5 linked regions of the Callithrix jacchus genome follow. The protein of the gene in region 5 binds, or shares a complex with, the protein of the main gene of each other region. Links are inferred from orthologs where the notes say so. Each region holds a gene or a part of one and is shown on either strand. Other genes may lie near its edges.

The links.
Region 1: the proteins of CDK4 (region 5) and CCND1 are in contact, whole or in part, in a crystal structure (PDB 2W96), measured with the Homo sapiens proteins. The link is inferred for Callithrix jacchus from reciprocal best matches to the Homo sapiens genes CDK4 and CCND1. Residues at the interface, in NP_000066.1 of Homo sapiens: Gly45, Gly48, Leu49, Ile51, Thr53, Val54, Arg55, Val57, Ala58, Leu59, Arg61, Arg62, Ala65, Phe66, Asp76, Val77, Cys78, Ala79, Arg82, Ile87, Val89, Asp129, His132, Ala133, Asn134, Cys135, Ser285, Phe287, Arg288; in NP_444284.1 of Homo sapiens: Leu6, Cys7, Cys8, Glu9, Val10, Thr12, Ile13, Ala30, Lys33, Ala34, Thr37, Phe108, Lys112, Met113, Glu115, Pro118, Leu119, Thr120, Ala121, Leu138, Gln139, Glu141, Leu142, Val145, Asn146, Lys149, Trp150, Asn151, Leu152, Ala153.
Region 2: the proteins of CDK4 (region 5) and CCND3 are in contact, whole or in part, in a crystal structure (PDB 7SJ3), measured with the Homo sapiens proteins. The link is inferred for Callithrix jacchus from reciprocal best matches to the Homo sapiens genes CDK4 and CCND3. Residues at the interface, in NP_000066.1 of Homo sapiens: Gly46, Gly47, Gly48, Leu49, Ile51, Thr53, Val54, Arg55, Val57, Ala58, Leu59, Arg61, Arg62, Glu64, Ala65, Phe66, Val77, Ala79, Val89, Asp129, His132, Ala133, Asn134, Cys135, Arg163, Ile164, Tyr165, Ser166, Tyr167, Gln168; in NP_001751.1 of Homo sapiens: His11, Pro13, Arg14, Ala15, Gly16, Pro17, Asp18, Arg20, Leu21, Arg26, Val27, Ser30, Leu31, Arg33, Leu34, Arg37, Tyr38, Glu74, Lys112, Leu113, Arg114, Glu115, Thr116, Pro118, Ile121, Glu122, Pro134, Arg138, Glu141, Val142.
Region 3: the proteins of CDK4 (region 5) and CDKN1A are in contact, whole or in part, in a crystal structure (PDB 6P8H), measured with the Homo sapiens proteins. The link is inferred for Callithrix jacchus from reciprocal best matches to the Homo sapiens genes CDK4 and CDKN1A. Residues at the interface, in NP_000066.1 of Homo sapiens: Gly18, Thr19, Val20, Tyr21, Lys22, Ala23, Asp25, Val32, Leu34, Ser36, Met75, Asp76, Cys78, Ala79, Thr80, Lys88, Thr90, Val92; in NP_000380.1 of Homo sapiens: Met38, Cys41, Ile42, Ala45, Arg48, Trp49, Phe51, Phe53, Val54, Glu56, Asp62, Phe63, Ala64, Trp65, Glu66, Arg67.
Region 4: the proteins of CDK4 (region 5) and CDKN1B are in contact, whole or in part, in a crystal structure (PDB 6P8F), measured with the Homo sapiens proteins. The link is inferred for Callithrix jacchus from reciprocal best matches to the Homo sapiens genes CDK4 and CDKN1B. Residues at the interface, in NP_000066.1 of Homo sapiens: Gly18, Thr19, Val20, Tyr21, Lys22, Ala23, Arg24, Asp25, Pro26, His27, Ser28, His30, Val32, Leu34, Ser36, Met75, Asp76, Cys78, Ala79, Thr80, Ser81, Lys88, Thr90, Val92; in NP_004055.1 of Homo sapiens: Glu53, Ser56, Lys59, Trp60, Phe62, Phe64, Gln65, His67, Lys68, Pro69, Lys73, Tyr74, Glu75, Trp76, Gln77, Glu78, Val79.

What each region holds. Positions count from the first base shown.
Region 1 is NC_133511.1:126,558,194-126,563,563, reverse strand, and holds the start of CCND1 (G1/S-specific cyclin-D1), read right to left. Parts: upstream 3,220-5,370; 5' UTR 3,137-3,219; coding exon 2,915-3,136; intron 2,223-2,914; coding exon 2,007-2,222; intron 1,517-2,006; coding exon 1,357-1,516; intron 1-1,356. UniProt on the Homo sapiens protein: Regulatory component of the cyclin D1-CDK4 (DC) complex that phosphorylates and inhibits members of the retinoblastoma (RB) protein family including RB1 and regulates the cell-cycle during G(1)/S transition.
Region 2 is NC_133505.1:50,441,947-50,447,335, forward strand, and holds the start of CCND3 (G1/S-specific cyclin-D3), read right to left. Parts: upstream 3,290-5,389; 5' UTR 3,130-3,289; coding exon 2,933-3,129; coding exon of another isoform or gene 2,932-2,932; exon of another isoform or gene 2,656-2,931; coding exon 2,445-2,655; exon of another isoform or gene 2,197-2,444; intron 2,064-2,196; coding exon 1,848-2,063; intron 1-1,847. UniProt on the Homo sapiens protein: Regulatory component of the cyclin D3-CDK4 (DC) complex that phosphorylates and inhibits members of the retinoblastoma (RB) protein family including RB1 and regulates the cell-cycle during G(1)/S transition.
Region 3 is NC_133505.1:44,980,215-44,985,528, reverse strand, and holds the start of CDKN1A (cyclin-dependent kinase inhibitor 1), read right to left. Parts: upstream 3,354-5,314; 5' UTR 3,239-3,353; intron 3,099-3,238; exon of another isoform or gene 1,433-3,098; intron 1-1,432. UniProt on the Homo sapiens protein: Plays an important role in controlling cell cycle progression and DNA damage-induced G2 arrest. Involved in p53/TP53 mediated inhibition of cellular proliferation in response to DNA damage.
Region 4 is NC_133510.1:10,588,403-10,593,772, reverse strand, and holds the start of CDKN1B (cyclin-dependent kinase inhibitor 1B), read left to right. Parts: upstream 1-1,710; 5' UTR 1,711-2,186; coding exon 2,187-2,661; intron 2,662-3,174; coding exon 3,175-3,296; 3' UTR 3,297-3,304; intron 3,305-5,370. UniProt on the Homo sapiens protein: Important regulator of cell cycle progression. Inhibits the kinase activity of CDK2 bound to cyclin A, but has little inhibitory activity on CDK2 bound to SPDYA. Involved in G1 arrest. Potent inhibitor of cyclin E- and cyclin A-CDK2 complexes.
Region 5 is NC_133510.1:61,952,887-61,958,227, reverse strand, and holds the start of CDK4 (cyclin-dependent kinase 4), read right to left. Parts: upstream 3,505-5,341; 5' UTR 3,381-3,504; intron 2,974-3,380; 5' UTR 2,955-2,973; coding exon 2,740-2,954; intron 2,584-2,739; coding exon 2,448-2,583; intron 2,331-2,447; coding exon 2,163-2,330; intron 2,006-2,162; coding exon 1,896-2,005; intron 730-1,895; coding exon 679-729; intron 543-678; coding exon 407-542; intron 1-406.

The sequences.
Region 1 (5,370 bases), on a different chromosome or scaffold from region 5:
CGCCTTCACAGACAAAGCGTGTGCAGTAGCGGGGAGGGCGAGACTGCACCTGCCCCCTGCCTCCCGCCAACACCCAGGGATCCTGGGAGGGGAGCTCAGCCGCTGGAGCCACCCTGCAGGGAAGCTGTGCAAGGACGGCACCCACCACGTCTCCAGAAAAGTGCATTTCTCTGAAGCCACTTACAGCTCCATAAAAGGCTGCGTGGAGTCTCTGGAGGCCTCTCTCCTCTGAGGAGCCCCAGCCAGAGAACGCCTCCCTGTCTGCTTCAGGACCACCCCCACCCCTCAGACCCATCCAGGCTGGACGGCATTCTTGGCATCTTCATCTGACCACTTTGGGGACTTGCTTGGAAACATGGGGGAGGGTTTCCTGCCCCAAGCAGGTGGAGGAGGTGGGGGAGCTCTCACGCCGAAACCAGAAACCATTCTGGAATAATACACTAACTGCTGGCTACCTGTGTCAGAGGGTGCGCTGAAATAGGTTTGGGGGGGCTCTGCCCTCAAGGGATTGGGGGAGAAGATGCTATTGTGTCTTTGATGTCCCGGACCTTGTGGCCTGTCACCCAGAGTGAGCCCACAAACAGATGTGACAACTGAGGCTTGACCAAAAGGGGGCAGGGCCCCCCCATCAGGGTAACCAGGGAAGGAGGCGCACAGGGGGGTCAGAGGCAGGGCTGGGGACAGCAGGAGGCAGCACCCTGTGTATGCATGTGTCTATCCCAGTTGGGTCCTGGGGCCAGGGCCATGCCAGCGGAGGTGAGGACTGGGTACTTCTGCTGCCCACGGTGGCGGCCTAAGCTGAGACTGCTCTGAAGTGCTCCCCAGGGCTCAGCTGAGCCCAGCAGACTGGCGGCACCCCTGGCAGGGCCTCAGGCAGCTGAGCTCCTCTGCTGGACACCCCTGCACTCAGCTGCCCAGAACACGTGGTGCAGGCGGGCCGACAGCTCTCCCCGCCCCCGGAGGCGCCTCTGGCAAGTCGCCCAGCCTGGGAGAGGCCAGGAGGGGGCCCCCGCAGCTCAGGCTCCTTAAGGACACAAGAAGGGCTGGAGGTCGGTGGGGAAAGGAGGCGGCCCTGCGGCCAAGGTAAACCCCTTTCGGCCTGGAGGATGAGGCCACAGCATCTAGACACAGGCAGGCTGGCTGCGTGGTGGCGCGGCCGTAAGGGCAAATCCCCTTCCATCCAGCGCAAACAAGCCAGCACCTCTGCTCACCAGAGCTGGAAGAACTCTTCCCAGCGCAGGCGGGGGCCTAGGGACGTCCTCCGGGACAGCACCCAGGTGCAGAGCAAGAAGCTGGCCAGGCCACCTAAGGTGCTGGCTTTCAAGGGGAGGCTGGGGGCGGCTGGGCCTGCCCTACCTGTAGCGCAGAGGGCAACGAAGGTCTGCGCGTGTTTGCGGATGATCTGTTTGTTCTCCTCCGCCTCTGGCATTTTGGAGAGGAAGTGTTCGATGAAATCGTGCGGGGTCATGGCGGCCAGGTTCCACTTGAGCTTGTTCACCAGGAGCAGCTCCATTTGCTGCGAACACAGGGTGAGCGGCTATCAGGGGAGGTGCGGGCCGGCCTGGGGACGCGGGGAAGCCGGCAGTATGGCCCTAGCCCCTGAGTCTCGTGTGGTCCTGGGGGTGCGGGAGCAGGACTGGCGAATGCTGGGGGGTCCAGGAAGCTGGGGCAACACACGATCCCAGATCAAAACAGAAAAGGCGCCCGCCGCGTGAAAAGATTCTGCAAGTGGAAACAAAAAGACTTCCCACCACCTGGAACGGAAGGCTCAGCGTGGAGCGCGGCGTTCCCGGTGCAGCCGCTGGAGGGCGCGCGCCGCCCATTTTTCGGCCACACCGCAGAGCGCTAACGAGGTGGGAGTCGCAGGCAAGCGCGCACGGGGCGGCTAGGATCCCACCCGCTCCCAGGACGAGGACACCCGGCAAAGGGGCCGCCTGCCGCCCCTGCACCTTCCCCGGCCCGGTGGTCCTGCGGCTCGCGGGGGGCGGCGGGGGTCCCGCGGTTACCAGCAGCTCCTCGGGCTGGATGGAGTTGTCGGTGTAGATGCACAGCTTCTCGGCCGTCAGGGGGATGGTCTCCTTCATCTTAGAGGCCACGAACATGCAGGTGGCCCCCAGCAGCTGCAGGCGGCTCTTTTTCACTGGCTCCAGCGACAGGAAGCGGTCCAGGTAGTTCATGGCCAGCGGGAAGACCTCCTCCTCGCACTTCTGCTCCTCGCAGACCTGCGGGGGCACGGGGCCCGTGACCGCCGCCGCCAGGTCGCGCCACCCCCACCCCACTCCCCCGCCCTCGCATGCCCATCGCGCTCGGCAGGACCACCAGTTCTGGAGGGCGCCGAGGGGTCGGGGCCGGGGGCGGCAGAAGCTTCCTGTGATGCGCCCCCTCTCGCGCGCGTCCCGAGTATCCACCCTCCCTGAAACTGAAAGGGAAAGTCCCCGCGAGGCTGGCATGGTGGGGGCGGGAGCGGGCACAGCTGGGCGGCGGCGCGGGCTGCAGGCCCCGGGGACCCCAGCCCGCCCTGGAGCTCCGTGGCCCCTCTGGCTGTGGGTCGACACCCACTGGGGTGCGGGGCCGCGCAAAAGGCCGCGGGGTTGGGCGCCGCGCCTGCGAGACACAAAGGTGGCGTCCCAGGCCGCCGCGCCGCATTTCCCCAGACGTCATCTTTTCAAAAAATATTTAAAAATATTTAAAAAATAACTAAGTGCGTAAAAATACCCTGAAAATGACCCTCGGACGGCCCTTTACCCAGGCCGGGGGTCGGGAGTTTGTTACAGGGTCCGGGGGAAGCCCCAGGAATTCAAACTCCGGGGACCCCCTTCCCCCTGGGCGCGGGCGGTGTTTCCCTCTCGCAAGGGCACCACGCCGCACTTTCAAAAATTATTTAAAAATACTTGCGGGCCCCTCAGGCGCCTACCGAAGGTGTGAAAATGTTCTCCCAGGCCCCCGGCTCGCTCGGAGAAGGTCCCCCAAGCCGAGATCCCTGCAGACGGGGATCCAGCCCTGGCGTCTTGGGGGCCACGCGACCTTGCAGCTCGGCGTGCTCTCCGGCCCAGGCTGCCCGTGCGGGGCGCTTTGGGACTCGCTGCTTGAACAAAGGCCCCCCTTTCCCCAGCGGGGTCCCCCCAAAACTACCCATGCTGCGTCCCCGCGCCCCTCCCGCGGGCTCCGGGCAGCCGCCGGGCCCCTAGTTGCGGCCCCAGCGCCCGGCGGCCGCTCCCCGCCCCCACCCTGCCCCCAATTATTAATAAACACTTTTGCTGTGCAATAAAAGAGCAAAGATGGCGCATAATACTGGCACGAGAAGCCCTTGCATACGTGTCCATGGATAGTAATTTAAAAATCAAATCTATGCCCCCTCCCCCCGGAGTTGGAGGCTCTCGGCCGCGGCGGCCGGGAGAGGAGCCGCAGCATGGCTGGGGCGCAGGCGGGGGGCACAAAGCGCACCTAACCTGCCAGCCCGCACCCTCGGGCCCATTGGGGTGCTCCTGGCACTGGCTTCTCCTGGAGGCACCCCTCCCCGACCCCCTCCTCCCGTCCCAGGAAACGCAACTCCTAGCACCCCCACCCCCACCCCTTCCTTCTTCAGAAAATACCCACAATTTTTATTTTGAAAATACCTAGCAACACCCCGGCAAACTTCAAAGGTCTAGCGGGAGAGAAGAGAGGGGAGTGAGAAGCAAAGAAACGTGGGTATGGGCAACAAGTTGCAGGGAGGTCTTAAGAGAGCCGCCCGAAGCCCCGCACCTCCAGCATCCAGGTGGCCACGATCTTCCGCATGGACGGCAGGACCTCCTTCTGCACACATTTGAAGTAGGACACGGAGGGTGCGCAGGTCTCCTCCGCCTTCAGCATGGCCCGCAGCACCCGGTCGTTGAGGAGGTTGGCATCGGGGTAGGCGCGGCGGATGGCCTCCACTTCGCAGCACAGGAGCTGGTGTTCCATGGCTGGGGCTCTGCCTGGGCAGCTGGGGAGGGCTGTGGGTTCCGGCTGCGTCCGCGCTCGGCTCTCGCTCCTGCTGCCCCGCGCTCCCTCGCGCTCTTCTGCCCCTCGCCGGAGCGCGCGGACTCTGCTGCTCGCGGCTACTGCGCCGACAGCCCTCTGGAGGCTCCAGGACTTTGCAACTTCAACAAAACTCCCCTGTAGTCCGTGTGACGTTACTGTTGTTAAGCAGAGATCAAAGCCGGGCAGAGAATGGGAGCGGGAGGGGGCGGGGGCGGGCGCAGGGGGAGGGGGCGCGGGCGCCAAACGCCGGGAGCAGCGAGGGGCAGAGCCCAAAAGCCATCCCCGAGGCGCCGCGCCTGCCCTGCGGCGGAGTTGCCCCCGTAGTCCGGTTTTCATAGAAATGCAAATCGCCCCGCTGCAGCCTTTCTCCCCGCCAGAAAAGAGGGGTACAGGGGGCCCGGTCCGACTCGAACGGGTCCCCCGGGATTTGGGGGTGGGGTGGAGGTGGCTCTGCAGTAGGGGACAACTGGGAAGCCCCACAGGCCACACGCAGCCTAGGGAGACCACGAGGAGGGGGGACTCCGGGGCGCGGCGACACCCCATATCCAAGCCGGCAGAATCGGCGCATTTCCAAGAACGCCACGAGGGCACCCACGAGCGGACAGACGGCCAAAGAATCTCAGTTTCTGCATCTCCTTTCATTTTCATTAACACGTGTAAATTTCAAGAACTATTTAGCATGCAGGGACGGAGGACAGGGCACACCACCCAGTGCACTTTTCATTTCGGCTCACATGGGGGTTGTTGTAAATGCCCAAGGGGGTAACCCTAAACATTTAAGGGATTTCAGCTTAGCACGCGTTCGCTCAAAAAATAAAATAAAATAAATGCCCGAAAATTCCAGCCGCAGCCCAAGATGGTGGCCAGCATTTCCTTCATCTTGTCCTTCTAGCCTGGAGACTCTTCGGGCTGTCTTCCTACCTTGACCAGTCCATCCTCGCGGGGGTCCCCAGATGCACCCCCTCCCTTCCGGTGCCGGCAATTTAACCGGGCCAAACACATCTCTGAAAGGACAGCCGAGGAACAGTGATCTCCGTCCTGACTCGTTTTTTAATTAAAAAAGGAATTAAATTGCTGGAAATATTAGTCGCCTCTGCCTGGGACAAGACCGCCGGAAGGTTCCTAATTGGTTTTGTTGGGGGTGTAGACGTCCTTTCACCTTTATAATTTGCCCCGGGTCTGCACTGGCGAGCGTGAGGGGGCTGGCAAGGGCGGGCAAAATAAAGGACACTTATCAATTAAACAAATGAGTGTACTGATCTGATTTTTAACAAAATCGATAGGCGTTCGTGGTTATATGAGAGGGTCCCCAATATTATCGCAAAGTTAAGCAAGTGTGAATTAAAATACATGGTGTTTTTTTTTTTT
Region 2 (5,389 bases), on a different chromosome or scaffold from region 5:
TCACTCAGCAGTAAACAGAGGGACCTAGATTCTAAGGAAGCATCTGGGAGGCAACTGGGGGTGGGATCCTCCCTATGGGGAAGCAAGGGGTCCTCTGTGAGGGAAGGTGTCTACCCTTCCCCATATTCAGGCAACTAGAGAATCCCAGTGTTAACTGGTAAAGAACACACCCCTGGGAGTGCTTATCTTCAGTTTGTGACATCCCTGACTTTTAAGGTAACCTCGTCTAGCTAGAAGACCCAGATTCTACACTCATCTTCTCAGAGTGATGCTAAGGCAGGACTCTTCCCTCCTTCCTTGGGCCTCGGCCTTCTCTGCTGCACAGGGATTCAGACCAACTGGAGTTCTCAGAGGCCTCTTCCAACCCTGACCTTCTAGGAAGTCTTCTGGACATTCTACCCCCAGCTCAGGCAGAGGGAAGAGTACTTTTTGCCTGTACTGAAAAACCCTCATACATGGGCACACACACCACCTCCATCTTTTCACAAAGAGGAAGTCCCCCTTCTACCTTCCGGCCCCAACCCCTCCAAAAACATCTTGCTCTTTGGTCCTGGAAACTAACTCTACTTCAGACTTGCCAAAATTTACCAGATTCATCACAAAGAGCTGTGGAGCCTCCTGGATTCCCAACGCTGGCCTCCTACTCCCATCTCTGAGCTACTTGGCAGGAAGAGGAATCCTGTTCCTCAACTCACAGCAGTCAGGGGCCCCAGTACCCTGGCTTCCCTGCCAGCCAATCACAGCAGCCTGCTTGCTGCCCTCCTCCCTGGGAGATGGGGCCCAGAGACTCCTCTCAGGGTCAGCAGAAGACTTGGCCGGCCACAGAGCAAGGTGGAGGAAGGTGCCAGCTCACCCACCCTCTCCCCTAGCGCCCCCCAGGAGACAATCTGCATGTCCTAAATAACCTCTTCCAGATCCAGCAGCTCCCTCGCCTCCTCCCCAGGCTCCTTCTGAGGCGGGATAGAACCGGTGACTTTCTGGCCCTGCCTGAGCCCAGCCCAAGTTTCCAGCAAGAGGCCCAGGGAGCCACTTCCCAAACCACAGGAGTGACAGCAGCTCCCCACAGTGTTATGAAAGACCTTGGTCAGAGAGGGCGGGCCGGGGGAGGGGGCACCATTATCACATCGGAAGCAGCTGCAGCCCACCTCCCGGTCTGTCCCTCAGCTTGAGCCTTTGGCTAAGGGGGAAAGAGAGAGCTGTTTCCACCAGGCCCAAAGCAGCTGCTCCAGTTCCTCAGAATGAAGACAGGGAAGGATTAGGGAGAAGCTGCCTCTTCCGGGATATCGGGATATAAGGGGAAGCAAAGAAGGTGGGATGAAATACATCAGCCCTTCCTTAAAGCAATCAGGGCCTGGCTTTAATCTGCTCTGGGAGGCTTTTCTATCACAAAGTCCACATGAGGATAAAGACTCAACCAAAGCAAACCCCCTCCCCCACATGAAGCACATTCCACTCCCCTACTCCAGTGGGGGTGTGCAGACATGCCCTTCTGCTGCCAATAAATAACTCATGGTGGCTCTGTAAACCCAGAGGCAAAGTACTAGTGAGTGTAGACATGCAGTCTGACTTGTTGCTATCTGGGGGAAAGACCAGGAAGGAGTGGCATCCCCTGGAGGTCAGGAGGAGGGGGTTTAATACCTGCCTGCAGCTCAAACCTGGGCAGGAGTGATACTAACCATCACACCACACTGCCCCATCGTTTCTTCCACCCTAATTCCTTTCCCAAAGGTCTCTGATCACCTTGCTCCCTCTCCAGGGGACAGAAAGCCTCTGAGGTCTTAAGCTTTCCTTTTCCTAGAAAGTAGGGAGACAGTACGTGTCAGGGGTGGGGGGGATTACACACGCACCCGCATCTGGCGGGGAGAGAGAGCGTGGTCGCTGTAGATGCACAGTTTTTCGATGGTCAGGGGCGTGGTCTCGCGCAGCTTGGAGGCCAGCAGCATGCAGACCGCACCCAGGAGCTGCAACTGAGCCTTTCGGGTGGGGACGCAGGACAGGTAACGATCCAGGTAGTTCATGGCCAGGGGAAAGACTTCCTCCTCACAGCGCTGCTCCTCACACACCTGAGAGAGGGCGCACAGTCACTGCTGGGGCCAGAGCGTGGGGAACACCGCGGCGGGGCAGCGGAGGGTGGGGGCGGTCGGTGAAGTGAAGCGGGATAGGGAGCAAAAACGGGAGAGAGGGTAAGCTACTTACAGAGACAAGGACCAATAACGGAGGAGGATGCGCCCTCCCCGAGGTGACGCCGCCCCACTTCCTCTGAGCGGCCTCCTCCCCTCTTCCCTTGGTGGGGTGGAGGTGGTAAAGCCGAGGAGCCCTTCCTCATGGAGGATTCCAAACGGAGACTCCCCTCCCCCACAGTGAGGGGAAGTGGGACGCAAGGGTCACCCATGGTAGCCAGAGAGCTGGGCCCTCACCCCCATCACCGCCACCACTGCACACACCCGAGGGGAAGGGAGGAGGCTCCTGCCGCTGCCTCCCGCACTTTTCATTTCCCTGTCGGCCGGAACAGGGCGCGCGCCACCCCCACCGCCTTCCCCGCCAGAACCCCGCGACAGACACAGGAACCGGCTCCCGGGCGGGGGCGGCCGAGCCCAGGGTTTTCCAGGCGCGCTCTCCGGAGAAGGCCAGGAGGGGGAGGGAAAAGGGAGAAGCCGAAGGGGAGAGGGTATCCCTTGTCCCGTTTTCCCGGTCCGAAGAGAGGCTCAGTTAGGGTGCCAAGTGACTGGCAGTCACAGTCGGGAGAAGCCGATTAGGGCTCGGGAAGGCAAGGGAGGCAGCCGGAGAGGGTGCCTTAGTGAAAGGCCAGGCCCCGGGAGTCTTAGCCCCGGAGCATCCTGCAGATTGCTGTGGTGACCGGGATGTCCCGGCAGGGCGGCCCCGGTGTGTCCAGAGCCGGGAGCAGTGGGGTGAGGGGCGTCCGGGCGGTACCTCCAGCATCCAGTAAGCCAGCATCTTCCGCATGTGCGGCTTGATCTCCCGCTGCACGCACTGGAAGTAGGAGGTGCGGGGCACGTAGCGCTCCTCCAGGCGGAGCAGGCTTTGCAGGACACGCTGGTCCCCCAGCAGCTGCGGGTCCGGCCCGGCCCGGGGCGCCTGCCGGGTGCCTTCGCAACACAGCAGCTCCATACTCGGGCAGCGCACAGGCAGGGCAGAAGTGCGGGCTCGCGATTCCCAAGGCAGGCGGCCGTCCAGAGAGCGCGGGGTGCACGTCTGGCGCTGGCGCTGGCGCTGGCACTATGTGGCGGATCCCCAACCCGCCCGCCGCCCGCGCGCGCGCCGCTTCCCTGACAGGCGCCCCGCCCCTCGCAACGATATAGCAACCTTGGAATGCTTGGACGTCGCAACGCTCTGAGGGGCGGGGCTGCGACGCCCCGGACGGAAAGGGCTGGCTGGGCGCTCTCCCCTCCCTCTTGCGGCCCCATTGGCCCGCGGGGCGCAAGCCGGCCAGCTTCCGGGCACTCCAGGCCCTGGACCACCGGGTGCAGAGAACTTTCTAGGAGGTGGGCCTCCTCCCACCCACGGACCCTCCCATTTTGCTTCTCGGACTCTAGTCACCCAGGAAAGAATTTTTCTCCAAAGGTCATTCATTCACTTATTCATTGGTCAAACCCTACTTCACCAGCTGCTTGCTCTAAGGAATGCGATAAATAATGTCAGACCTAGTTAGTGAACGCTGCTCCAAAGCTTCACGATGTAATGACTCACTACGTCTTCACGAAAACTCCGAAACTGAGGCAACTGTCGCGATCATTCAGTTGGTCCATGGCAGAGTTGGGATTGGGAAGCTGGCCTTCTTTCTCCAGATTCTGTACTCTACACCATTGTTAAACTGTGATACCACACTTGTCCCGTGTGTGGGCATCGCCTGGGAGCTGGTTAGAAATGCAGATTCTCAGGCCCACAGCTAACCTGAATCAGAATCTGCATTTTAACTAGATGTCTGTGCACTTTAAAGTATGAGTGCTTTAGTCTAAATCAGCATATCACAGAATGGAAAGGCGATTGAGTCGTGGCCTCACCTTGTTAAGTTGGTTGCCTGGCTTTGGACAAGCCCCCTAAGTTGGCCTTAGTATCTGTTTGGGGAAACTGGATGGAGAAACTCGATTCTCACTGAATCAGTTTCTTACACAGACTCTATGAGATCTACAGGTTACATTGCTTCCACCTCCCAAACTTTTGGTTACTTTGTAGTTTTACCAGAAGCTGTATTTGACCAAGAGGCAGATAACAGACCTCCAATAATGCTCCAAATGGGAGAAGGCCGTGAGGATCCCTGCCCTTACTGGGGTCCTCCCACCCTAGGAGACACTAAGGAAGTGTCTCCTGCCTTACTAAGGAAGTGAGTAACTAGAGAAATTACACTATGTAGAAGATGTAAGTTCTATGCCAACCATTTTCTCAGTTAATTATTCTTTTTGCTTGTTTTTAAGACGAAGTCTCACTCTGTTGCCCAAGCTGGACTGTAGTGGTGCGACCTCAGCTCACGGCAACCTCCACCTTCCAGGTTCAAGCGATTCTCCTGCTGCAGCCTCCCAAGTAGCTGGGACTACAGGCATAAGCCACCATGCCCGACTAATTTTTGTATTTTTAGTAGAGACGGGTTTCACTACGTTGGCCAGGCTGGTCTCAAACTCCTGACCTTGTGACCACCTGCCTCCAAAAGTACTGAGATTACAGGCTTGAGCCCCTGAGCCTAGCTGAATTATTCTTTCTTCTATAATAAATTGTATTGTACTTTTCGTATCATAAAATATTATTTTGCATTTTAGAAAACTTCAAAAATACAAATAAGCCACAGAAAAAGAAAATAATCATTTGCAATTTGCCATCCAGAAATAACCGTTTAATATATCAATCTTTATTTTTCTAATATTTGTTCTACGAATAAACACACATTTTAAATGGGATCATCACAAACTGTTTTGTAAGCTTTTTTCATTAAAAAAAATACCATTAACACTTTTCCAAGCCATTAAATATTCTAGGACATAATTTGTAATGGGTACATAGTATACCATTAGGTGAATATACAAAAGGTATTTTGGCAAACATTGAAATTTAAATTATTTCTAGTTCTTCCCCATTAGAAAAAATACTGTAAAATATTTTTGTGGTAATAACTTTGTGCACACTCATGATTATTTCTAGAAGTGAATTAATTTCTAGAAGTAGAATTTCCCAATTTAAGATTATGAAACATTCTAAGGCTTTTGATATACTTCTTTTTTTTTTTTGAGAGGGCGTCTTGCTCTGTCACCCAGGCTGGAGTGCAGTGGCGCAACCTCGGGCCACTGCAACCTCCGCCTCCTGAGTTCAAGCAATTCTCCTGCCTTAGCCTCCTGAGTAGCTGGGATTACAGGCACATGCCACCACACCCGGCTAATTT
Region 3 (5,314 bases), on a different chromosome or scaffold from region 5:
TTAAAAATGTCAATCCTCTAAAAAGTGAATAGCTATTTGCTCCCTTTTTACAGCAGAGGTAACAAAGGCTCAGAGAAGTTAAGCAACTTGTCCAGTGTCACACAGTTCATAAATGGCAGAGTCAGGATCTGAACACAGGCCTGTTTGCCCTGAGTCCTGTGCTCTAGTATTGAACCTACTCCCTCTCTAATTTTGAGGTTTCTTAACCAGAGAGTCCCATCAGAATCAGTTGGGGAGGCCAGGGGCAGTGGCTCACACCTGTAATCTAATACTCTGGGAGGCTAAGGTGGGGGAATCATTTGAGCCCAGGGGTTCAAGACCAGCCTGAGCAACACAGAGAGACCCTATCTCTACTAAAAATAAAAATTAGCTGGTGGGCTGGGCGCAGTGGCTCACGTCTACAATCGCAGAACTTTGGGACGCTGCGGCAGGCAGATCACTTGAAGTCAGGAGTTCAAGACCAGCCTGGCCAACACGGCAAAAACCCTATCTCTCCTAAAATTATAAAAACTAGCTGGGCGTGGTGGTGCACACCTGTAGTTCCAGCTACTCAGGAGGCTGAGGCAGGAGAATTGCTTGAACCCAAGAGGTGGAGGTTGCAATGAGCTGAGATCACGCCACTGCACTCCAGCCTGGGTGACAGAGTGAGATTCTGTCTCAAAAAAAAAAAAAAAAAATTAGCTGGGCATGGGGGCTCACGACTATGGTCCCAGCTTCTTGAAAGGCTGAAACAGGAAGATTGCTTGAGTCTAGGATGGTGCCATTGCACTCCAGCCTGGGTAACAGAGTGAGACCCTGTCTCAAAAAAAAAAAAAAATCACTTAGGGAGCTTTTTCAAGGCCCTGCCTCTTGAGACCAACTTAATCCAGATTGAAGATTTAAGTAGGTGTTTGAAGATTTAAGCAAGTGTTCAGCACAGTTCCTCAGATGGGCACTCTTGGGGTATCAGACAAGGGGGACACTGGTGTGTTTGAAATGGACATTCTGGGTCTCAATACATCAGAGGCACAAGGAAGGGCTCCATCAAGGATATTCCCTGGCTCTCAGGAGCTCAGGATAAGACTAGGATCTAGGCAGGCACCCTTTCCTCTTCTACCACCCCTTCCCTTAGGGCTCTCATAGGCCTCTCCTCCCCCATCTAAATCTGCTCTCAGGCGCATTGTCATAACTTTCAGCCCAAAGAAAACTCAGAAACGCAAACCCTTGTTCTACAAATAACTGAGAATAGCCTCCTTTGTTGGCCTTCCTGCCTTAGACTTCAGTCATACTTTAATTTCCAGTAAGAGCTCAATAAATACTGTTGAACCTAAGGAGTGTTCCTTTGAAGGAGCGGTGAATGGCATAGGGGTTGATCTCAGATGAGCCCGGAGTACCCGCGGTGGTTCCCGCCTGCCAGCCCCACTCCGCGGGAAAGCGGGTGTGCCATTCTCACCAGGGCCGGGAGGGGGCGCCGGCCTCCAGGAAATCACGCGCGGGGTGGGAGGTACGTGGGCAGAGCATTGGACAGCGGGGGAGTAGCGATGAGTCAGTTTCCCGCAAGGCGCTGCCCGCCCCCGCCAAAACTCCGCTTCCACTCCGGCTGCGCGTCACACTGGGGTGGGGAGAGGGAGAATGGGAGGGGACCGGAGGGCCGCGAACACGTCACGCTGGGCAGGCCAGGCTTCCAAAACTCCCGCCGCTGTTGCGAAACCGCGCGCTCCTGCGCCGTCTCTGACACAGACACACGGGCGCGCGGGCGCGCACACACACACACACACACGCGCGCGCGCGCCGAGAGCTGGCCCCTCCACCTTATCTCCACGCCCAAAGCACGGGATGAGTCAGATCCCTGGAAAATAAAAATAGACGGGAGCAACGAAAACAAAATCTCTCGGAAGTTCTCCCAAAAACACGACGTGGAGCGAGGGAAGGAGACGGGAAGCTGTCTAGGCGCCCCAAGTTCCAAACCCATCCCCTAGATGTTTTTCTGCACTAAGAGGGCGCAAGTGTCCCCCGGGGATTCCGGACTGAGAGGACGTGCCGTGGTCCGCGCCCGGCGGCGGCGCTCACCCCGCTGCTCCGCTCAGTCTTGTCGCTTTCGGAGAGGGAATCTGGGCTAGGTCGGGGCACCCCGAGCCCCCGCGGCAGCTGATGGAGGCCCTGAGCAGTGTCGTGCCCCCCAGAAACGCCACCAACGCCGCAAAGACAGGATCTCTCCCCACCTCCCACTCAGGCGTAGGCTCCGCTCTTGCCCGGGAGTCCAGCGCCCCGACTCGAGGACAAGCTGGGCCGTGGTTCTCCCGGCCGCGGTGGTAAAGAGGTAGAGAAGACCCCTGCCCTTCCTCGACTGACAGGCTGGTTAGAGCCCGCCCAGCGCAGGGCGTTGACTCCCCGGCCCCTAGGGCGCGCCGCGGAGCGGGGATCAGACGCGGCGACCTGGACCTCCAGTGCCCGGCTTCCCTGGGAACACGCTGTGCCAGCCAAATTGGTCACTGTGCTGATGGGAGGGCGAGACCTGAAGGGACAGGGAGGGGGCTTCTGGGTTCCCACTGTACCCCAGCCCGGGCGAAGTTCTGACCTTATACAGTCCGTTCCCTGGGGTCTCCTTGTCACAATGAGTCAGCTCCTCGCTTGTCCTTAGGGGACGTGTCCTGGCACATTCCCAAGGGCCAGGAAACTGCTCGCACTTACCTCAGCGCCCAGCCAGGTGGTGGACACAGTGGCGTAGAGGACCTGAACCCCGGGACGTGAGCCAGGGCGGCGCCGCTTGGTTCCGAAAACCGCCCGGGACCGATCCCAGACGAACTTACTCCACTCCGCTTTCCTCGCCCCTCCTGGACCCCTCCAGGGACACGGACTTCATTCCCACGCCAGGAGCAAACTGCACCTGGGGCTTGGAGCCCACCGCTGCGGAAGGCGAGCTCCCAGAGCGGCCCCGTCTACGCCCTCCCTCGCCCCAGCTGGGTTTCTAGGGGCGGGGAGCGTGGCCCGGGATCCCTGTACTTGTAATCCCGCTCTCCGCCCGGAGTCTCCGGCACATCCCGATCCCCGTCACCCGAGCACTTTACAGACACCGTATGCGGAAGCCGAGCAGGCACAGACCCACGCCCGTCATTCACCTGCCTCAGAAACACCTGTGAACGCAGCGCACACCCGCGGACACGCATCCCCGCGACACCCACGGACACAGGCAGGCTCGCTCGGCTCGGCTCTGGGCCGGCGGCCTGGGGTCCCCTGTTGGCTGCCGCCGCTCCCTCACCTCCTCTGAGTGCCTCGGTGCCTCGGCGAATCCGCGCTCAGCTCTGACCCCACAAGGAACTGACTCCCGCAGCTGCTCACACCTCAACTGGTGCCGCTCTGCGGGCGCAAATATAACCTACCCCCAGGAGGGGCGGGACCCGCGCTCGTCCTACCGCGCCGCCCCTGGACGGCCCTCCCCCAGGCCCGGGGCCCTGGCTGCCCAGCGCCGAGCCAGCTGAGCCTGGCAGAGTTCCAGCAGCCCCAGACGGTCCCGGAACCTCGCGTGCTGCAGGAGGGCGCTTCCCTCCTCCCGTTGTCTCTAACGTGCGTCGGTACACTGGACACATTTTTCCCACAAAGTGAGCCTCAAATTTGGCCTTTTTTAGTTGGAGAATGACTTGGCACTCCCCAGGAGGGCGCTGTTCGAATGAGCCCCCTTTCTGGCCCACCGCTGACCCACTATGGCAGGCAAGGATTTACCCAATGCAGCTGAAAAGATCAGGAGGATGACAGTCGTAAATAAAAATCCATAAATAATAAAAACGATGCGCCTCTCTGCAATTTCCAGAAAAGCCCCACGATACCACCTCTATTCCCATTGATCCCTCATTAGGTCACCTCTCCCAGACACACCTGAGGCACCTAGACACCCCAACAAAACATCTTGAGGCCAGAATGATTTTTCAGTCCCCTTTATTTCACAGATGAGGCAACTGAAGGTCCACTGAACTTAAGTATACAAAGATGTTGATTGTCACATGCTTCCGGGAAGGAGGGAATTGGAGACACTATCAGAAAACCGAGGAGGAATTGGACATTGAACCAATCTCCGTACACCGTACACTCACCTCAACAGAAGAACTCTGTGATTGCAGCTTTGTTGGCTAGGAAGCAGAGGATTTGATGAGTGAGTTGTCTGTCTCCTAAATACTCCCCACAGGGCCCATATACACTGCTGGGGAAACTGAGGCTCAGAAGAGTTTAGTGACCTGACTCAGATTATGCAGCAAAGAAATGACTATGGTGGGAACACAGGACTTTTGCCTCCTGCCCAAGGCTCTGTGCTTGTCACCCTTTATTTCTGTGGCTCCAGAATGACAAAAATACCCAATAACCCTCATTTGCAGACAGTTTATGGAAATGACATAAATAAAGGATAATTCTGGAAGTGTCTACTGGTGCTTCTGCCAGACACAGAAATGAGTAACGTGTCTATCTGCTCCCGTCTACCCCATACCTCTGACCTCCCTTGGACTTCATCTTTGCCTCCTTTATGTGCCTGAAACATGTGCAGTTTTGCTTTGAAAAATTGCAGAGGATGGATTGTTAATCTGAAAATAAATCCCACTAAAAAATAGGAGCCAGGCTTGGAGCAGCTGCAATTACTGACATCTCAGGCTGCTCAGTCTGGAAATCTCTGCCCAGGCATGCCCCAAGCCTTTTTTTTTTTTTTTTTTTTAATAAAGGTTTGTAATGAATTATAAAGTTTTGTAGTATTGGGCTTCACAATGAAATAATTCTTTGCACATCATTTTTTATTATATATGGATTTTTATTTATTAATGTCATCCTCCTGATCTTTTCAGCTACATTGAGTAAATGCTTGCCTGCCATAGTGAGTCAGTGGTGGTGGTGGGCCAGAAAGAGGGTTCATTCTAACAATGCCGTGCCCTCCTGGGGAGTGCCAAGTCATTCTCCAACTAAAAGAGGCTCACTTTGAGGGAAAAATGTGAGGCCCACTTTGAGGGGAAAACTTGAGGCCCACTTTGTGGGAAAAATGTGTCCAGTGCACATTCTCTTCTTCTAACATAGCTGACCTCAGGAAGGAGAGGCTTCTGTCTCCTCCACTGTGAAGGTGGGAGCCCAGGTAGGGGTGGGAGGACACAGGAGCAGATCCCCTGGGCCTGCCTGGCCCTGGAGTCAGGCCAGAATTGTGGTTAAACCCCAGAAAGTCCACAGCATGGCCTCAGGACCCCACTCTCAGACCCACTGCTATCTCCACCTTCCCCTCTATACATCCAAACCATCCAAAGAGTGGTTTACCAATGTCCAGCCAGGACAGGCACCTCCTCCCGCTGGCTTAAAGCCCCTCCGC
Region 4 (5,370 bases), about 51 Mb from region 5:
TGCAGACTACAGCACAATCAAACCCAGACGAAACCCTGAACCAGTGAGGACCATCAGGAAGGAAAGGCACAGAAAATGAACCAACCCGAGTGGTAGGAGACCTGCAGCTAGTCCTGTATCCGTTACCAACCGAATGCATGTCCCTGGACAGGAAACCTCTCTGAGTCTCAGTTTCCTCCGTGGTAAAAACGAGAGGGTTAAACCACAGGGTCCCGAAGGTCCCTTCCAGCTGTCACATTCTGGAGTGTATGAGATGAGGTAGGCACACAAAGTGGACAAACAAGATGTGGCTAAGAAAACGAGCCACACATGAAGTTCATCTGTAGCATAGGTGCATAAGAAAATTAGGCTGCCGTGTGATACTAGAACGGAAGGTTGGTTTCCAGCAAAATGTATTAACTTTGGCCCAAACCGAGATGATGGGTACGGGGCATGGGGGTGGGGAGAGCAGCTGAAGATCCACTGAGCTTTGTCTCAGGGCAGCCCTGCTCGTCGTCCTACTTTACCTTCCACCACGGTGCTCAAGCCCACAATGAGAGAAATTTCCAGCTGCAAAAGGGAGCAGAGAAACGCTGGAATATCGGACATTAGGACATGGTTTGGTGGCTTTAAGAATCATTTCATCATCTGGAGTTTGGCCCCGAGGGGAGTATTTTCACCCTTCAGCCCTCTGAAAGCATTCACTAGCATCTGAATATTGTTCTGAGTTTGTTGGAGCAGTGAAATCTGGTGAGAGAGAAGGGTGGAGGAAGGAAGGAGCTGTTGTATTTGGCGGCTGGACCCAGGTAGAGGAAACTGCTACAATCCCGGGAAAGAACTGAAAAGTAGAGAGAGACAGTTCCCACACGCAGCCGACGTCCATGGCCTTAACTCTGCTTGGGAAGCAAGAGCCTGGGCCAGGGGTGTAACCTCGGTTTTCAAAACTGAATGTGTCTGGGACAGCTACAGCGTTTATTAATGGACTTGAGAGACTACTCGAGTTTTTTTTTTTTTTAAATCTTGAGTTCCTTTCTTAATTTTCATGGAGAGAGAGCTTGAGTTTATGGTAAGTGCCGCGTCTACTCCTGGCTAATTTCTAAAAGAAAGACCTTCGCCTTGGCTTCTTCCCTAGGCCTGCTACCTCCCCAGGGATGGCAGAAACTTCTGGATTAAGGCTGAGCGAACTACCACCCACCCCCAGCTAAGGCAAACCGGCCGGGGCGGTGCCCAGCCCCTCCAGCAAACGCTCCACGGCCTCCCCCACAGGCCGCGAGGTGGGGGCCACTGGGGAAGGTTGAGCTGGGGGCAGCTCGCCACTTCGGCTCTAAGCGAGCTGCTGGTGACCTTCGAGGTCCTCTGGTCTAGGCCCCCGGCTTCCCGGGCAAGGAGCGGGAGGTCGGGACTTAGGCGCCGCGCCGGGCCCCGAACCCCAGGCCCCGCCCCAGCTTCCCGGCCGTTTGGCTAGTTTGTTTGTCTTAATTTTAATTTCTCCGAGGCCAGCCAGAGCAGGTTTGTTGGCAGCAGTACACCTCCAGCAGTCACGCGACCAGCCAATGTCCCGGCGGCGCTCGGGGAGGCGGCGCGCTCGGGAACGCGGGGAGGAGGCGGAACGGCGCCGGGGCCACCTTAAGCCTGCGCTAGCCAGCCTCGGCGGGGCGGCTCCCGGCGCCGCAACCAATGGATCTCCTCCTCTGTTTAAATAGACTAGCCGTGTCAATCATTTTCTTCTTCGTCAGCCTCCCTTCCACCGCCATATTGGGCCACTAAAAAAGGGGGCTCGTCTTTTCGGGGTGTTTTTCGCCCCCTCCCCTGTCCCCGCTTGCTCACGGCTCCGCGACTCCGACGCCGGCAAGGTTTGGAGAGCGGCTGGGTTCGCGGGACCCGCGGGCTTGCACCGCCCGGACTCGGACGGGCTTTGCCACCCCCTCCGCTTGCCTGGTCCCCTCCCCGCCCCTCCCCGCCCTCCCACTCGCCAGTCCACTTGATCAGCGGAGACTCGGCGGCTGGGCAGGGGCTTCTCCGCAGCCCCATCCCGCAGACCCTGCGCGCTCCTGTAGCTCGGGCCGTGGCTCGTCCGGGTCCGTGTCTTTTGGCTCCGAGGGCAGTCGCTGGGCTCCCGAGTGTGGTTCGGGCTGCGTAGGGGCGTTTTGTTTTGTTTCGTGTTTTTGAGAGTGCGAGAGAGGCGGCCGTACAGACCCGGGGGGAAGATGTCAAACGTGCGAATGTCTAACGGGAGCCCCAGCCTGGAGCGGATGGACGCCAGGCAGGCGGAGCACCCCAAGCCCTCGGCCTGCAGGAACCTCTTCGGCCCGGTGGACCACGAAGAGTTAACCCGGGACTTGGAGAAGCACTGCAGAGACATGGAAGAGGCGAGCCAGCTCAAGTGGAATTTCGATTTTCAGAATCACAAGCCCCTGGAGGGCAAGTACGAGTGGCAAGAGGTGGAGAAGGGCAGCTTGCCCGAGTTCTACTACAGACCCCCGCGCCCCCCCAAAGGCGCCTGCAAGGTGCCGGCTCAGGAGAGCCAGGATGTCAGCGGGAGCCGCCCGGCGGCGCCTTTAATTGGGGCTCCGGCTAACTCTGAGGACACGCACTTGGTAGACCCAAAGACTGATCCGTCCGACAGCCAGACGGGGTTAGCGGAGCAGTGCGCAGGAATAAGGAAGCGACCTGCAGCTGACGGTAATGGCCCCTTCCCAACCGTAGATTGTTTGTGTCTGGGGGCCCGCTTTGCCTGCTGGAGGGTGTTAATCTCAGCTTGTTTTCCGGCGTATTCTGATTTAATTTTGGAAGGGCTAACTTTTTTGGTCTTAGGTTTCCAGTGCTACCTGACCCACTGCTTGTCTGTTTGTAACTTTTAAGTCAGAAACTGGAGATGGTAAGATCCGATAATTTCCCTAATTTAGGACGTCGCAGTCCCTCCCACTAGCCAGCCTTAGGTATGTGACAAAGTTGGGATGTTTATCAATGGTCCGCCTCCTGGCTAGCGAGAGCGCTCTGGGGCGGAGAATGCACTTTCTGTTTTTTGAAAACAACCTCATTTTGTGCCCTTAAAGGCCATTTGGGATGACGGATACAGGATTGTGGGTGGAGGTGGTGGGTTTTTCATCCCCTAAATATCGGGCCAACTTCTGCATCCATTGTTTTTTCTAACAAAGATTGTGTGTTCTTTTTAAAAATTTCCCCCACTCTTAGATTCTTCTACTCAAAACAAAAGAGCCAACAGAACAGAAGAAAATGTTTCAGACGGTTCCCCGAATGCCGGTTCTGTGGAGCAGACGCCCAAGAAGCCTGGCCTCAGAAGACGTCAGACGTAAACAGTTCGGTGGGTTTGATCAGCAAAGGAGCACGCACTGAAACCCAGGGCCTTCAGAACCCACGACACCTGATCTTACTGTTTGCTGGCAGATTAAAAGCCTGTGGGGTTTTGTTTTGTTTATACTTCGTGAGGTCAAAAAAGTAGCGATTGGGAAGGCTGGGAATCACTGTGGGGATACTGTAATTCTTCAAAGTTTCTTTGCCCGAAGATACTTTCTCTTGAAATAGTAGACCAGAGCAGCTACTGTAACCAAGGCCCCGTCGGGTAGGAAGGGCATTTTTCTGTGAGTCCTACTGAGACATATAACAATAAGTTCTTTCCCCATCTGAACAAGAATTGGGGTACTCCCTCAGTCCCACTTCATGAGAGTTAATTTCCCAGAGGTTCAGTTTGAGTCTGTAACATTTTTGAGCCATACATGGAAAAATGGCAAATACATAATTAAGTTTAAATTTTGAGGGGAATATGTGGTAGAAATTGCTCACCTTTGGTGATGCAAGGGATTGGAGATGTGAATAGGGTGTTGTTATGTTGTGTTCTGTCTTTGACATTTTCATAAACGGTCACTTTCCCTGTTCTAGAGAGTTTGTAGAGAGAAGGAATCAGTATTTACAAAAAGCAAAATGGAAAGATAAAAAAATTACTAAAGTTTCTCAATTTCTGGGAACACTCAAGTTGCAAAGCAGAAGTTAGATTAACTCTGTCAGTAAGCAATCCGTGAACAGGTCAGCCAGTGTATGCTAATTGTGCTGTAATAGGGTGATTTGATATTTGTAGGGGAAATGGGTAGTAAATATCAAGACTGGTGACCGTGGGTCAACCCAGCACAAAGGAAGTGGAGATTTTTCCGTACTCAATCTGATCACCGTTAATAGCTAATTTGAATAATTCAGCCCCCAAATGTACATGGATTAGCTAGTCATAATTATCGAATTAACATACATATTAAGTTTTTTAGTGTCTTATAGACCAAGATTGTGACCTCTTTCTTTTTTAAAGCACATACATAGCTTAGCATATGAGGCGATCTTGATAAATATTGTTAACTTATTAAATCCTCATTTATAAAAATTTTAACAGGGATTAAGGTGGGATTCAGGTTTGTTGTGTCTTTAAATTGTGTATTCGACTTCACTATACCTTGTATTTTTCAGAGCTTATACAGAACGGTACTATAGAGCCTGTTTCATAGTACCATATGAAGTGAGAAAATTAGGTGAAAATTTTCCCGAAGCAGCCTTGACACTCGCAACTCCTGTTGGTTTGTGACTTGTAACCTAGCTCATCAGATGAGCCATGAGAATCAAACCTGGATTTTGATCTGGCCCCATTCTGACACGCAGAGAGGCATTTGTTAGTAATATTGCCAGTTCAAAGAATACTAGAAATATTAGTAAGAACTTACTCAGAAGGATTCATGAATAAATTCTGTGTATGAATAAAAAAATATTTTGAAAATGATGTTAATAAAATTTTCTTCTGGAAGACCTTTGTAATTTTTATTCCTAATCATTTTTCAAATTTAGAAAATTTAATATGTCACAGTAGAGAAAAAAATTTTTTTAATTTAAAGAAAATTTAATTTTTTAAATAAATTTATGAATAAAAAATTTGTAAATTTTTACCCTTAATTATTACAGTTTCCTAATTTTCCTGTTTCTTTCCCACTTGTCTGTGACCTAGATTTTTTAGATAGGGTTTCTCAACCTCTGCACTACTGACATTTTGGGCCGAGTAATTCTTTGTTGTAGGAAACTGCCCTGTGTGTTTTAGATTGTTTGGCAGTATCTCTGGCCTTTCCCACTAGATGCCAGCAGCATCTTCTCCCCCAGTGTGACAACCTAAAATGTCTCCAGACATTGCCAAATGTTCCCTGGGGGGCAAGGGCAACACTGCCCACTGTTAAGAACCACTGCTCTAGACAAAAGTACACAGCATCGGAGAGGGAAAAAAATCCAGTTAAGAGAATATTAGGTGGAGATGAGTAGTCATCAGACTTAGAGTACATACGTTTTTCCCCATCAAGTTTATTTCCACACTAACGTAATGACAAAATAATTCCTGTAAACGTT
Region 5 (5,341 bases):
TGATCTCGGCTTACTACAACCTCCGCCTCCTGAGTTCAAGCGATTCTCCTGCCTCAGCTTCCCGAGTAGCTGGGATGACAGGCATGTGCCACCATGCCTGCCTTACTTTTTGTATTTTTAGTAGAGATGAGGTTTCACCATTTTAGCCAGGCTGGTCTCAAACTCCTGACCTCAGGTGATCCACCCGCCTTAGCCTCCCAAGTGCTGGTATTACAGGTGTGAGCCACTACGCCTGGCCAGGATGGGCTCTCTTTTAGATCCCTCTCTGTGGGTGGCTATTTGCAGCTGCAATAAAAACTACAGCCCATCTACCAACCAAGTTTCATTAACCACAGTGGCCAGGGCCCTGTGTACTGCTCTGCTTCTTCCCCCAGTCCCTCCCTGTGCCCACAGCCATCTCCAATACCAACAGCAGATGTGCTCCCAACTCCTCCATCTCAGGTACCACCGACTGCACTGGGCGGGGCCCTCTGGGGTGAAAGGCTCCACGGGGCAGAGATACATCTCGAGGCCAGTCATCCTCTGGAGGCAGCCCAATCAGGCTGTGGGGGACAGGAGAGCTGTGGTCAGGAGGGTCCTCCAGTTCCCATCCCCATGGAGAGAGCCAGTTGCCATCCTGGGCTCAGCAGAAAGAGGACTCAGAATGTAAAATATTTTTCTCCCATATTGGTCACTTACTCAAAGATTTTGCCCAACTGGTCAGCTTCAGAGTTTCCACAGAAGAGAGGCCTAAGGTAAGAAGAGACATAAGGTAGCTGTCATTTTTAAAGTATCATAGTCGAATGGCTGTTACTACTTAGTAGCCCAAAATAAAAAGTATAGCAAATAAAGACCAGTAATTCCAGCACTTTGGGATGCTAAGGTGAGACAACTCTTTGAGCCCAGGAGTTCTAGATAAGCCTGGACAAGCAAGACCTTGTCTCTTAAAAAAAAAAAAAAAAAAAAATGTCAGGTGCGGTGGCTCACGCCTGTAATCCCAGCACTTTGGGAGGCAGAGGTGGGCAGATCATGAGGCCAAGAGATGGAGACCATCCTGGCCTACATGGTGAAACCCCGTCTCTACTAAAAATATAAAAATTAGCTTGGCACGGTGGTGTACACCTGTAGTCCCAGCTCCTCGGGAGGCTGAGGCAGAAGAATTGCTTGAACCCGGGAGGTAGAGGTTGCCGTGAGCCAAGATCGCACCACTGCACTCCAGCCTAGCAACAGAGCCACACTCTGTCTTGAAAAAAAAAAAAAAAAGCCATTCATGGTGGCGTGCGCCTGTAGTAGTCCCAGCTACTCAGGAGGCTGAGACAGGAGGACTGCTTGAGCCCAAGAGGTAGAGGGTACAGTGAGCTGTAATTGTGCCACTGCACTCCAGCCTGGGTGATAGAGTGAGACCTTGTCTCAAATAAATAAATAAATAAAGGAGAATAAAGGGATATGAAGTTCCCAATTCCAGAACATTTTAGTGCTTCCCGTTATGGCCAAGGTAGTCAGTAGAACTCAAGTAAACGAATGGGGCCAGGTGCAGTAGGTCATGCTTGTAATTCCAGCACTTTGAGAGGTAGAGTTGGGAGGACTGCTTGAGTGTAAGAGTTCAAGACCAGCCTGGGCAATATACTGAGACCCCATCTCTACAAAAATATTAAAAAATAGCCAGGCATGGAGGTGTGCGCCTATAGTGTGAGCTACTCGGGAGGCTGAGATGGGAGGATCACTTGAGCCCAGGAGGTTGAAGCTTCAGTGAACTGTGATCATGTCATTGCAATCTAGCCTGGACAACAGAGAAGACCCTGTCTCCAACAAAAAAAAAAAAAAAAAAGAAGAAGAATGGAAGGGAGGTTTGGATGTGGTTTATGAACAAGAGATTTGGGGAATTCAAGGTGGTCCAGGGTATGTGGGTCCCATACTTTCGACGAAACATCTCAGCAAAGATACAGCCAACACTCCACATGTCCACAGGTGTTGCATATGTGGACTGCAGAAGAACTTCGGGAGCTCGGTACCAGAGTGTAACCACCTAAAGGGGATAGGAAAAATGGATGGGGATCCCATGCGTTACCATGAAATACAACTGACTTAACTGAACACATGAAGCACATGACTTCTCAATTGTTATGGGCCACCACTCTCCTACTCCCAACCAGAACCCATATTGGTACCATCTTTCTACTGACCACAGGTGTAAGTGCCATCTGGTAGCTGTAGATTCTGGCCAGGCCAAAGTCAGCCAGCTTGACTGTTCCACCACTTGTCACCAGAATGTTCTCTGGCTTCAGATCTCGGTGAACGATGCAATTGGCATGAAGAAAATCTAGGCCTCTTAGAAACTGGCGCATCAGATCCTAGTTCAGAAGGGGGAGGAACAGATGCACTGGAAACTAGGCACCATCCCTGAAATCCCAGGAGGTTCTACTACAAAGGTCCCAATTCACCTCTCAATGCCTACCAACCCCACTCACCTTGATGGTCTCTGCAGGCAAGCCTGGTGGGGGTGCCTTGTCCAGATATGTCCTTAGATCTTGGTCTACATGCTCAAACACCAGGGTTACCTTGATCTCTCGGTCAGTTCGCGATGTGGCACAGACATCCATCAGCCTGGCCAGAGTAAATGCTCACTTGTCAATCCCCTTTAACCCACATGACCTCTCATTATTTCCTCTGGGTCCCCACTTCTCACCAGATCACCACACCCCACCTATAGACTGTCTTTTCCCTTTACTGCCCACTCCCAACCCTCCACCGCCTTCTCACCGGACAACGTTGGGATGCTCAAAAGCCTCCAGTCGCCTCAGTAAGGCCACTTCACGAACTGTGCTGACGGGAAGGCCTCCTCCAGCTCCTCCATTGGGGACTCTCACACTCTTGAGGGCCACAAAGTGGCCACTGTGGGGATCACGGGCCTTGTACACTGTCCCATAGGCACCGACACCAATTTCAGCCACTGGCTCATATCGAGAGGTAGCCATTCTCAGATCAAGGGAGACCCTACAATCACAAAGACTCCTATCACTAAAAGTCCCTTACAGAGTTAGGATGGTATGAGCCTGCAGCAACAAAGGGACTCCCAAGAAAAAGCACAAAGAACAACACCAGCATCCCATCCCCCGCTCCCAATCTTCCTTGGGCCGGCCCCGGAGATAACACAATGACTCAATACCAACCCCTGCAGCCACGTGAGGCCCTACAATAAAAAATGCCTTTTCTTTTGGGACAATCGCGCCCCGTACAAAGATCACACATGACACACGCCTTGCATCGAAGATCTTACACCTCAGTCCCTAAAATTATACCTTCCCACGACCACAAAGGCCCCATTTCCCGCCCTTGAACGACCCTTTCATAACCAGCTCTCGAAACGCACGCGTGGAAAGCTGGGATGGGGCTGCACTTACCTCACGCCAGGCCGGGGTGCTGCGGGGGCGGCCCGTTATCGGGGCCCCGGAGCCGGTTCCTGCGGCCCCATACACCCGGGCTCTGTCCCGGGCAGCTGGACGCAGAGGGCCCGACCATAGACACAGGCCGCAGGCTAGAGAGGCCCCCTCACCCCCACCCTCACCATGTGACCAGATGCCAAAGAGGCGCGCGGAAACTGGGAGGGCGGGGCGAACGCCGGACGTTCTGGGCACGTGACCGCCAGCCAAGCGCTGTGGGGGCGGCCAGGAGCCGCTTTGACGGGGAGGAGAGCTAAGAGCGTAAGAGGGGCGGAGGGGAGATACAGCCATGTGATCTGTTGCTATCACACGTGACCGCTTGACATTGCTCGGAGGAGCAGAGGTGTGGTTACGCGAAGGGCACGTGACTAGCTGCCACAACCCCGCTGCGGGTGGGGGGGCGCGGTAGGGGGCAAGAGAGGGTGGAGCCCAAGGCGGTGCCATGGCAACCCAGGCCACCCAGAGCCCAACTCCGGGCTGAAAGATTGTTTCACTGGTCTTTCAGCCTGACTACATTGGGGAGAGGGTGGGAGTTGGGGGACCAGAGGTGGTACTATCACCTTTTTGCTTCACCGTGAGAAAACATACTCTCATTTGTGCCATTGTTTCACTCATTCATTCTACAAAATTGTACTGAGTGCTTGTTGCCAGTGTGTATGTGGGTTTTTATTTTGTTTTGTTTTTGGTGTCTGTCACTGGCTCTTTAAAGTAGTGGTACGACTATCTATAAAGATGTAGCCAACAATGGGGTCTTATAAAATAGGTAGTAGACAATGCCCACTGGAGGGCAAAACTTCAATTAGGGGATGGACAGAAGGCAGATTAATACAGTAAGACAACAGGAACAGTGGCAAAGTAATGCCCTCTAGTTCCCAACTTCCAAACCTTCCTGGAAGTGTTAATGCAAAGACTTGAGGCCATCTGGCAGAGAAGTTATTGATGAGCAGGAGACAGGAATACTTGACCTTTATGTTTTTTGTTTTTGTTTTTTCAGTAGGAAGATTCTATGATTATGTGAGATTAAGATATATGTGTGTATATATATACTTCTAGGTATATATATATGTATGTATGTTATATTACTTATTACATGTCGTAGACAGGCGCATGTGCAAGAAGTTACCACCACACCCCCTGCACCCTCCAGACAACCACAGTAAATGGGAATGACGTGCTTTTCTGCAAGCTTGTGACTGTTCATTTGGAGTCACTGTGCTTCCCTTTTTCCCTAGTGCAGCTTTCTTAGCACTTAGCACCATCCAGAACCAGCACTTAGCACCATTTTTCCCAAATGGCCTCTGCCCACAGACACCTAGGTTGACAGAGGTAGATTTCTCCTACCTTTTTTGTTTTATTGGCTCCAGGTTCTTTATCTCCCAGCCCTTTAGGGGTATGGGAGTAAAGGAGGAAAGTGGTTAGTGTCTCATTTGTGAGAATTGACAATTTGTCTAAAATATATATAAATATATATTTTTTGTCTAAAAATATATATAAATGTATATTTTAGACAAAATATATATGTATTTTTTGAGACGGAGTTTCGCTTTGTTGCCAGGGGTGGAGTGCAATAGTGTGATGTGCCACCACGCCTGTGATCCCAGCTAATTTTGTATTTTTAGTAGAGACAGGGTTTCTCCATGTTGGTCAGGCTGGTCTCAAACTCCCAACCTCAAGTTATCTGCCTGCCTCAGCCTCCCAAAATGCTGGGATTACAGTCGTGAGACACTGTGCCCAGCTGAATTTGTCTAAAATCTAAAGCTGGTTTATTACCTTATTTGCCACTCCTTCCACCCTAACTTCTGTTTTCCTGAACCATCTGGCTGAGAATATAAGAGTTCAAACTAGAAGATGAATATAAACTATTATTTAGAGCAAAACAGGATACATGTTAATACAGATGCCTCCTCTTTCCATCCTGATAC